Daphnia pulex: one gene and its partners. The protein of the gene in region 2 binds, or shares a complex with, the protein of the main gene of each other region. Links are inferred from orthologs where the notes say so. Each region holds a gene or a part of one and is shown on either strand. Other genes may lie near its edges.

Evidence for each region.
Region 1: inhibitor of growth protein 3-like (region 2) and vacuolar protein sorting-associated protein 72 homolog share a complex: the UniProt entries of both Homo sapiens proteins name them as parts of the nuA4 histone acetyltransferase complex. The link is inferred for Daphnia pulex from reciprocal best matches to the Homo sapiens genes ING3 and VPS72.
Region 3: inhibitor of growth protein 3-like (region 2) and chromatin modification-related protein MEAF6-like share a complex: the UniProt entries of both Homo sapiens proteins name them as parts of the nuA4 histone acetyltransferase complex. The link is inferred for Daphnia pulex from reciprocal best matches to the Homo sapiens genes ING3 and MEAF6.

What each region holds. Positions count from the first base shown.
Region 1 is NC_060028.1:9,610,870-9,614,661, reverse strand, and holds vacuolar protein sorting-associated protein 72 homolog, read left to right. Parts: upstream 1-1,454; 5' UTR 1,455-1,612; exon of another isoform or gene 1,613-1,670; 5' UTR 1,671-1,736; coding exon 1,737-1,879; intron 1,880-1,938; coding exon 1,939-2,068; intron 2,069-2,125; coding exon 2,126-2,385; intron 2,386-2,447; coding exon 2,448-2,849; intron 2,850-2,918; coding exon 2,919-3,210; 3' UTR 3,211-3,266; downstream 3,267-3,792. Other genes in the region: uncharacterized protein LOC124210054, read right to left, coding at 37-158, 231-328, 396-545, 676-745; uncharacterized protein LOC124210055, read left to right, coding at 3,458-3,584, 3,659-3,792. UniProt on the Homo sapiens protein: Deposition-and-exchange histone chaperone specific for H2AZ1, specifically chaperones H2AZ1 and deposits it into nucleosomes.
Region 2 is NC_060019.1:7,721,586-7,725,670, reverse strand, and holds the start of inhibitor of growth protein 3-like, read left to right. Parts: upstream 1-1,277; 5' UTR 1,278-1,410; coding exon 1,411-1,438; intron 1,439-1,510; coding exon 1,511-1,582; intron 1,583-4,085. UniProt on the Homo sapiens protein: Component of the NuA4 histone acetyltransferase (HAT) complex which is involved in transcriptional activation of select genes principally by acetylation of nucleosomal histones H4 and H2A.
Region 3 is NC_060026.1:14,091,000-14,093,670, reverse strand, and holds chromatin modification-related protein MEAF6-like, read left to right. Parts: upstream 1-1,287; 5' UTR 1,288-1,355; coding exon 1,356-1,430; intron 1,431-1,496; coding exon 1,497-1,703; intron 1,704-1,761; coding exon 1,762-1,962; 3' UTR 1,963-2,102; downstream 2,103-2,671. Other genes in the region: histone deacetylase 8-like, read right to left, coding at 1-72, 144-336, 406-477, 536-712, 775-949, 1,083-1,229; V-type proton ATPase subunit D-like, read left to right, coding at 2,334-2,374, 2,483-2,600, 2,670-2,671.

The DNA of each region.
Region 1 (3,792 bases), on a different chromosome or scaffold from region 2:
ACTTTTAATGACGTCGAAACCATTTTGAAATCTTACACTTTAAAAGATTTTGAATCTTTGGCTGACAGATCACATTGCAGTGCAAAAGCTCCGTCTCCTGGCATAATGAGCTCCTTATCATGCTGTAAGATGAGAGTCACTTGAAACTTTTCTCCATCCTAAAAAAATTGCACATTAGAAACATGAGACGTTAGACGTGTTGATACATTCGTTATTCTTATTGCACGTACATCCTCAACATTGCACTGATCGTATGGTATTTTGAGCCGAAAACGACGGCCACCGTTAGCATCTAGAAAGCACGGTGCCTTTCGTGAATAGAAGCTGCCTAAGTCAGAGAAAAATTTAGAAACGAAAATTTAAATTTTAAATCGATATTTTCTCTTGTTTTGTACCTCTGGTGTATATGACTCCTCTAAAATCGGCCAGTGTCTCTACTACCACTTGAAAATTGTTGCTACCGCAGTCTAGCCGGATCTGATCGAACCCCGAAGCCGTCACACCAATGTTCATACGCCCAGTCACATCTTCCCGCCATAATTCTGCAGTTGAAGGGAAAAGTGGTAATATAATTGAAATTACTTGACTTAGACTAGTAGGATGACGTAATTCTTGCAAGATTCCGTAGTTTCTTAACAAAAACATATCAAGTTAAAACGCTTTAATGATTCTCACCTTCTCCTCTTGACGTGAACAGACACAATAAGAATGTCAGAGACAAGAGCACAAAATCACGGACAAACATTTGATAAAGCTTTCAAAGAAATGGTGAGATGGCACCGGAGTCAGTCAAGCTGAACTGGTTTCAAGACTAACTGCATGCCGGTCTTTGTACGGAAACACCTGAGTTTTCCATCTGTCAATGACTTTCTCTGGGTTATTCTAGCCTCAGGTGATTTTTTCGTTCTTTCAGATGAATGCCAGAAGTAAAGCTTACTTCCGTGCGGCAGAAATAGCATGCACCGGCGGGAAAATTGGTTTTACTTTTGATTTTGAAAAATAACAATTGTAAAATTTAATTATACGTAAATGGTGAGGAACTGGCAAAGTAGCGATACCCACTGAGGCAATATTTTAAGGGTCAATTTGTGAAATGGTTGGAACTGGTTGGAACTGGCAATTTTACTGATAAAATGCAGCAGAATAATTCGTACCTTCATTTAAACAAAAATGTTATAGTCATGTCATGAATGTGTGTGATCTTGTCTTTTGCTTTTTCATTGTGTTCATCAACCTGGATAAGGATCGGGATAAAGAGCTTGAAGTCTGTAACAATTTTAATATTCTCTTTAAAGTGGTTCCTCAACACAAAACGTTATAACAAACAAGGTGAAGTGTTTTCAATTCTTTTTCTTAGTAACTAACTTCAGTCTTAAAGGGGAAGGACTGAATGAAGATTGAAGAACAAATATAAAATGAAAGAGACAGAATTTCTTTTTTTAGGTACAGTACGTCTAAATCCAGGAGAAGCAAAGTAGAAAGAATGAAAGGAAAGGCGGAAAGGTTTCTGTAGGATATAACGCCACCTAGCGTTGTGATTTAGCAAGAATTAAGTTTGGTTTTAGTCAATAGATGGCTTTCTGTGGCGTTGGCGTCTGCTTTTCCAGTTGAGGTTGTTTAGAAAAAACTAATTTTTTTGTGTAATTTTAACGTGAACTTTGTGTTCTCAGATCTAGTAATTGAATTCTCATAGTGTTTGTTTAGTAAAAAATAACGTCTATCTGTTAAAGTTCATCATGTCGCTACAACGTGAACGGCGTGTAAATGCGGGCAATCGCTTGTCAAAATTACTGGAGGAAGAAGAACAGGATGACGATTTCTATAAAAGCACTTACGGTGGATTCAATGATGAAGAAGATGACAATGAATTCGTTTTCAAGTAATTTAAAGTCTAAATTTGTATATTACATCAATAAAACAAATCTTTTTTTGGTCTAGAGCGGAAGAGGACCAGGATGACGTAGTAGACTCAGATTTCAGCATTGATGAAAATGATGAACCTATCTCTGATCATGAAGATGAGGGCACTAAAAGAAAACGAGGTGTAGTCAGTACCAAAGCGTACAAGGTATGTCTATTCTACTACAGAATTAACGAATGAAATCATTTTTAAAAATTTTCTTAGGAGCCTAAAGCTTCCTCGAGCAAACGCTTAAAGGGTGACAAAAATGCTGATGAAATGACAGAAAGAATAGCAAAAGCTGGAGAAAAAACAGAAGTTCCTGTGGAAGTCCCGAAGGTCAGGTCGAAATATGCCAGAAAGCCAAAAATTCCTTCACAGGCCAGAGAAAAGAAGGCAGTAAGGCAAACAACTGTATTGAAATCAGCTGAAACTGTACAAAGACTCAGGGAGAGAGAAACAAAAGGGAAAAGAAAACACAACAGGTTAGCATTAAAAATAATTCTTCATTAGAAATGTTTCAAACCAATCATTTATTATGATGTAGAAGGGACAATTCTGAAAAGTTAACCCAACAACAGCTTCTAGAAGAAGCCAAAGAGACTGAATTGCTTAACATTCAATCATTGGAAAAGTATCACCAACTTGAACTGGAGAAAAAGAAAACTAGGGTCGTGAAAAAGGCTCCTACTGGACCAACAATTCGTTACCTCTCGACGTCAATGCCTCTGATCCAGGAAGTCAACCCGGAAGCCGAGCGAATTAATGTCGAAGAAGATGAGGAAAAAGAAGATAATCCAGTTGTTGAGAATGGCACGGTAGCCACAGTCGACAGCAAGCAGTGTTGTGAAAGAACTTTCGTTACGTTTTCGAATGACAGTGTCTTGGAGGCTAATTTCAGTCGGACGAAAGTCACTCCACCTCAAAAGAATTTTTGTCCTATCACCAGGTCGGTTTGAGTGATCGTCTTCTCTTAGATGAAAGGGAAATATCATTCGTTTATCATATCTCTTTTCAGGCAAAGAGCCAAATACTTTGATCCGGTGACTCAGCTGCCGTACGGCACTCTACAGGCCTTCCGGATTTTACGTGAGGCCTATTGCCAGCAGCTGGAGGTGAAAGGAGACGCCAGCGATCCGGAGATCGGCCGCTGGAAGGAATGGCGTCAAAAGTACCGCCAAGCTCGACTCGCCGCTCTAGCTGCCGCTCGCGCTCAACAGGTCAACGCGCAGGGAAACTCAGCACCTGCATCGACGCCAGTTCCAGCAGTCAAACCCTCCAACTCGAATAACTCCACACCGACGATATGAACGAAATTCTCCTCATTTTTTGCAACCGACATGAATAAAATGGACATTTTTTGATATTTTCTTTCGACCATTAGACAATTTAGGGTTTCTTTCAACTCGATTTGTGTTTCATACGAACTTTGTCAGACTAGCAAATGTTATCGATGAATTATTCATAGGTTAAATCCTATCAAAAGCGTCTTGCTACACCTGCCGACAAATAAGTTGGCAGTGATGATGAAACCGGAAGGCGATCAAGACGTATACCATGTTCTTTAAACTTCAAAACTTGTACTATTGTGCTGCTCTACTACTAATTCAGTTGACATTAGTCACCCAGCAGTTGGTTCCTTACAGCGGAGCTACTCGTTTTGTTCCTAATTGGTGGACTGCAGGTAAAATCAGCCATTTTAAAAATGTGTTTCCAAAAATAATTTGAACAGCTCATTTTTGTCTTTTCCATTGTTAGCAAGACGTCAGCATTCAACCAAAACATTAAAGCCTCTTATCTTTTGTCCAGTTCATCAAGCGGCAGGCGGAGAGTGTCGCAATTCCGAGGATTGCTCTGCAGACGAGTGCTGCGTCCGCTCTACGGGGTCCCGT
Region 2 (4,085 bases):
TTAACTTAACTTAATCTTTGATTTTAATATAAACATTTCCCTCACTAGATATTTCCCTCACTAATGGAAATCACACCAGCGGCAGGCTACCAATTCGATTCACTGCTACGTGCGAAAATTTCTCTGTAAGCCTGAATGGTTAAATTCAATCTCTAAAAGGTTCTAAATACAAAATTGGACTCAAATCTACTGAGTGTTGTTAAAGATGGAACGAAATTTTTTCGTAAAAAGAAGGTGACGTCCGAACTCCGAAGACACGGATTTTTTAAGAAGGTTTTTTCGGACTTTCGGAGCCCAATTTAGATCGCTTTTCAGACGGCTCTTTCACATAGACACATGAGTTGAGTCAAAGACAAGACAAAGTCAAAGCACACATGTCACTTTTAATTAGTTTTCATGTTATTTATTTCAAATATTTCAATATTTACAAATTACCCGAAGGGTTACTGGTCAAAGTTTCGTTTGCAGTATGGTTTACATGGGCACCCTCAGTTCTCGTAACACTACATAGATGGATGCACTAGTTTTTGGCAATTATTGATTGTAATCAACAATTTTATTGCATTTCAATGGCAGTAATCGGTAGCTTACAATTTTTTACATCTATTCTGAAAATTTGGCTGCAATCAATTCAGGCATTTGATCAAACGGAGTTCTGGTTACTTTTTGACAGAATTTCAATAGCTGTTACAGCAGACGATAATACAGAGACATGTGACAGGGATATAAACGTAACGTGACAATCGACTACTATTGTATGATAGAATAGAAGTCACTGTATGTTATCACCGAACGCTATCAATCTCCAGTAACAGAAGTGCTGATAGGTAGTTACTTAAATTTAATTTTAACAAGATCCGGTGTGACGTGGGGTGGCGGGGCGAAGCCTCCGCCGCACCAAAGTCACGCGGAAATATTCTTTTAATCTCTTTCTCGATTTATGCTTATTACAATCTTCCGGAAACTAAGGGCATAAATTTTTTTTAAATGTTATTAATCCATCTTAATAATAGGCCTACCTTTATAACAGAATATTTTTATTATTCTATAACTATTCTATAGCTCTGTCTTTGTAAAACTATACCAATACTACTATACCAACTAGAATACCCTTAACATTCCCTTCGGGTACCTTGCGGCGTACGTACGCTGCCTACAGTATAACTAGGACTGGCAGTAGGCGGCAGTAGGCTAACACTAGACCAAGTGAGCACAACTCCTAGTGACCAAATTGCTCGCTAGAGGGAATCTGCAGACATTCACTCGCTCGCGTCATCACATTAGATTCCTGTAGATCAACTGCAGAAAAGAAGCAGTGATCCAAGCCATCCGTCAAAAGCGTATAAGAAAAAGAAAATTTCTCAAAACTTAAATAAATTTTATTGTCGATTTCAATCAATTTGTACCAAAATGTTGTACTTAGAAGATTATTTGGAAAGTATGATGAGTGTTTCAAGTGATGATAAAGTTCCCTGATTAAAATTTTTAAATTACCATCTCCCCATTGTAGTGATAGAGCATTTGCCCCAAGAACTGAGGGATCGATTTACTGAAATGCGCGAAATGGATTTACAAGTTCAAAGTAACTCTCGAATAAGTTGTAGAAAATGTAATAGGGATGTTCGGCGTGTCGGGCCGTTTACTTACAGTTTCCAAGTTGAATAAATTAGACACGAACAAAACCGTGTCTTTTACCTCTCGTCTATTTTAACACACTGAATATTGTACAGTAAATTGGGGGGGAATAAACAATAGGGGGGTAGGGAAACAACGACTGAATTTGGGGACCAACGACTGAATTTGGGGCCACCTATCGGGGGCCCCCAAGGCAATAGTCGCGTAGGTGCGCCGGTGTTGTTGTGCGGCGCCCTGATCTCGTCGTCGTCTGTTGGAATGGAATATTCCTAACACACTCCCCACCAGAGCCCGTAGCATCCGGCTCGACATCTTCGACGACGTCTTCCGGTTCTTCGGGAGCTGGCATAGCGTCTCCGATAGCGAGATCGATTTCTGGTTCTGGCAGAGTTGGATTTGGATCCTCTTCCGGCTCCTGGATCGGTTCCGGATTTCCAATTTCGACGTCTTCGGCGAGATCTTCTCGCAGCTCTATAGGGTGAAGACATTGAATGGCTCTATTAATTAAATTACCATTTGGAATCTTGAGCATGACAGAACGGATGAGTCCGTCGCGGCTTGGAATCAGTTCCTTCACTACTCCGGTAGACCACATGAGTCGTTTGGAGTGTTCGTCGTGGATAACAACGACTTCTCCTAGGCGGATCTTCCTTCCGGATTTTCCTTTGGAGTGGAAGTTGTCTAGTTGGAGTAGATAATCGTCGACGAATCTAGCACAGATGTCAGCGACATATTCCCTCCTGTTCTTGTCCATCTCTTGTAGTACGATGCTGGTCGATGTAGGATCCAGCAAGTTAACGGCTGGCTCCGGATCGGCACGAGTAGAACGTCTGTTGTTTAGAAATTGGTTAGGAGTTATCGGAAGTGGATCGTCAGCTCCTTCCCCAATATAGCTGAGTGGGCGGGCGTTGATTACGCTCTCGATTTCTGCTAAACTCGCTTCCAGTTCCATGTAGTCAAGGCAGGCTCGACCGTTGGAGCGTCGCAGCAGATCCTTGACGCTCCTCACCATCCGTTCCCAGAATCCTCCCCACCATGGCGCTAGGCTGGCGGAAAATATCCAAAGGGTTTTTCTGGACGCGAGAAAGTCTTGAATGATGGGATCGGCGTGAATAGTTCTCAGGAATCGGTCGACACATCGGAACGTTTGCGCGTTGTCCGAATACATCACTGAGACGGGTCCTCGTCTAGCTGCGAATTTTCGAAAGGCTAGTAAGAAGGAACGCGCCGTCATATCGGGTAGTAGTTCCAAGTGAACCGCTCGAGTGACTGCACACGTAAAAAGACAAACATAACTTTTAAGATGGTTCGTTTTCTTAGCTTTAGTTGTTGTTATTAAGATGTCTTGGATTTCGACATCTTCTTCGACTGAATCCTCTTCGCCTACGATTAGAGCTTCGATTGGAGCGTCTCCTTCAGCGGGTGGCTCCTCGATTCGCTCTTCAGTTGGATCGTCTGCTGGCGTCGGATCCTGGACGCTTGGTGGAGCTTTCCTTTTCTTCCTTCGCTGTGCTGGTTTGTACAGCAGTGGTCCAGCGAAATCGACTCCTGTAACGTGAAAAGATTGCGCATGTTTGAGTCGGTTTAAAGGAAGAGGGGCTGCTAGTTCTTGCTGTCGTCCTTTAACTATCCAGAATTTTTCTTTTAACTCGGATAGTGTTACTTTTGCTCCTGCATGTAGTAGTGACTCGTGTTTGTCTGTAATTAAGAAAGTGATTACTATATGTGATGCAGGAAGCAAAATTGGGGGATCGATGTTTCTATCTCTTAGGGCAAGTGATACTCTCCCATGGATTCGAACGAGACGGTCTCTGGCGTCCCAGATTGGAAAAAGTGCAGCGATTTTCTCCTTGGGCTGGATTGTGTTGTCTAACTGTAGCGATTCAAACGCCTTAGGATACCGCTCTCGTTGGAGCTGTCTGTAGATCGTTAGTTCCGCTTCATCCAGCTCCTCTCTGGATAATCTTGTAATCCGGATAACTTTTCCACTTCCTTTTCCATCTGGTCCAATTGCCTTTATCGACTCCATTCGTTCTGGACCGGGAGGTCTGAGCTTCTTTTGACTCCTGCTGAGGAATCGTGAGACCCAGGCTGTACGTCTTAACAGTCGATTCCAGGTGGAAATTTTGTCGAGATTCCAGTCGACGGAGGCTGTTGGAATTGCGATGGCTGCTGTTGTGCTGACCGTCGTACTCCTAGCTTCCGATTCCATTTCGGACTGGATTGTTTGTGGAATTTGGTCGTTGGGAGAATCTGGCCATTCCGTTTCTTCTCCTTTGAGCCAAATCGGGCCGTTCCACCAAAGAGTTGAGGTTACCAGCGTTGGCGCTGGCGCTCCCCGCGAGGCAAGATCGGCCGGATTTTGGAGACCTGGACAGTGTCTCCACCACTCGGGTTGTGAAAATTTTCGTATCGTCTCCACTTGGTTTCGGACGAATGGTTTCCATTTG
Region 3 (2,671 bases), on a different chromosome or scaffold from region 2:
GCTAGGCCATCTGCTCCACATTGACATACAATTGCTTCCGGACGAAAACGTTTCATTACTTCCTGGAAAACTCTTTTGTCACAGATGAATGAATGATGATGAACCACATTGTAGGTTTTAAGGAGACAAAAGAAAATTTATACGTTTGAAAGACGTGGATGAAAGTTTCATCGCAAGCCCCATCTCTGAGTGGAACATTGCATGAATAGTTGCGACCCCTGCCGAAACCAGTGTCGTTGACTGAACCTGTACCCGGAAAATATCCTTCTTCATGTTTATGTAACGATAGCGTAAACACTTTGCGGCTGTAAGCGAAAGCATTTTCAACTCCGTCTCCTTAAATAAATAAAAATGGGTTTGTATCAATCCTTGTATACATTTACACTGAAAAAGGGTTGGACTTACCGTGGTGAATATCCAAGTCAATATAAAGTACGAGTTTGAATTTTCTTTCCAATTCTAGGATGGCAAGAACACCTGAAAATCCAATAGTTTTACCTTGTGTTTTCATTATAAAAATATTAAATTATTGTACAGTCATTGATGTAGCAGAATCCTGATGCACAATCTCTCTGAGCGTGATGCCAGCCTCCACAGAAATTTACTGCCACATCAACAGATCCAGAAACAAGTGCTTTGGCTCCTGCTACAGATCCACCAGCTATCACAGAGATAAAGTCATCAAGCTTGTCAAGTGGGGGGCAGTCAAATCCTTGATTAGATTTTAATGTGATAAATTAACATTTCCATTACATGTTTCCATATTCATATTACCTAAACCATATTCCTCACTGGATTCATCCTCTACATCCACATCACCTTTGAGGAATTCAATGTAATCGGCAGAATGAAATCCTTGAAAGACGTCATCATTAACTTTATCACAGTTTAAAAGCAAGACATGATCTAAGAGTCCATAAGATTCCAGCAAATGATGAACTAATGAGGCCTGAAAAGAAACAAAGCAAAAGTGAGATCAAAATACGTTATATGTACTATTGAAAGTTAGTTGTACATAATGCTTAAGTATGTCAAAATTTAACTGTGACATTTTTTAGTGGTGAATGGAAAAAAAATGTTACCCTGTTCTTCAGGTTTGGTACTCTATTACATTGATGAATTAATTCCGGTGAATATACATAGCCAATTTTAGATTTAGGGGGACATTTTATGATTTTTTCCTCGTTATCATCACAGCTCTTTTTTTCGTCCGGCAGTATACCCGCCATTTGAATAACGTTGTCTGCACCGCCACGTTCACTAGCGACATGGCGGACAATAAAGAAACCCGAAATTAAATGGCCGCCAGCATCGCCTGAACAACAAAAGAAAAGGGCGAAATTTTGGCTTGTAAAATGACTAAAAATACATCCAGCTCCGATTTACGATCTGAACTTTCTGACCTCGTCAAACGAAGAATCGAAGTCGCCGTAAGAATGAATTCAAATTTAACCTTAAAAACTGCCTACTTCATTGTTTATATTTGTGTTTTGTAGGAAACCCTAGCCAACTTGGAAAGACAAATTTATGCATTCGAAGGTAGTTACCTGGAAGATACACAGCTTTACGGAAATATTATTCGAGGATGGGACCGTTATTTAAACAGTACTAGCAAACTGTCAAACCCTTCATCTGACAAAAGGAACAGGAAATTCAAGGAAAATGAAAGACTTTTCTCCAAGTCTTCAATTACTTCTATGGCGGTAGAATTGCATGACACTTCTACTGAATTAACAGAAATAAAATTTCTTTCAAACCTAGGCTGTGAGCGGGATCATTGATCTGAATTCTGAGAGAGCAGAACGAAGCAGTGAAACTGAATCACAAGCAGGAATGAGTGGAAGTGACGAAAACAGCAGAGATTTTCTCGGTTTAGAGGGGGTCAATGGTGATAAGTTAGGAAAAGTTTCAAAATCCAGACATATAAATAAAAGAGGGAGCAAGAAGTCAAAACTGAAATAATTTCATATTCACTGTTCATTTTCCTATTCTCTATAACATGGTTTCGTGAATGCCCTTATGAATGTACCTTCCTAAGTGTTAAACAAACTTTATGTCTGTGTGTCAATTTTCTGGTTTTCTGAATAAATGCTCGAATTAAACATTCCAATGTTCTCGCAATTCATTTTCCGATTCAGACTTATTACGTAAATATGTTTCATCCTTCTATCGCCAGATGGATTTGAAAGCTCATTTGCTCCTCCCCCTCTCTTCCTTCTCTTGTTGTCACATGATCAGATGATTCTTGTCAAAATTCGGTAACCACACACTAAACCCTCTTACGAACCCTATTCGTTTGTATTGTATTATTCAGATCCAGTTTTAATCACACAATGTCGGGAAAAGACAAAATTGCCATTTTTCCTTCTCGAGGGTATGTCATATTTATCTTTAAGACGATTCAGTTGTAATTTAGAACATATTAGAGCTCAATAACAACTTTCAAGTTTTTGGTTTAATTCCTTTCTCTTGACACAATCAGAGCACAGACTTTGATGAAACATCGGCTTGCCGGTGCACAGAAAGGCCATGGTCTTCTTAAAAAGAAGGCAGATGCTCTTCAAATGAGGTTCCGCTCAATCCTGAAAAAGATCATTGATGTAAGTTGAAAAGGAATTAAGTATCTACTTTACTTGGCATTACAAAATAATTATTACTCAATGTTTCAGAC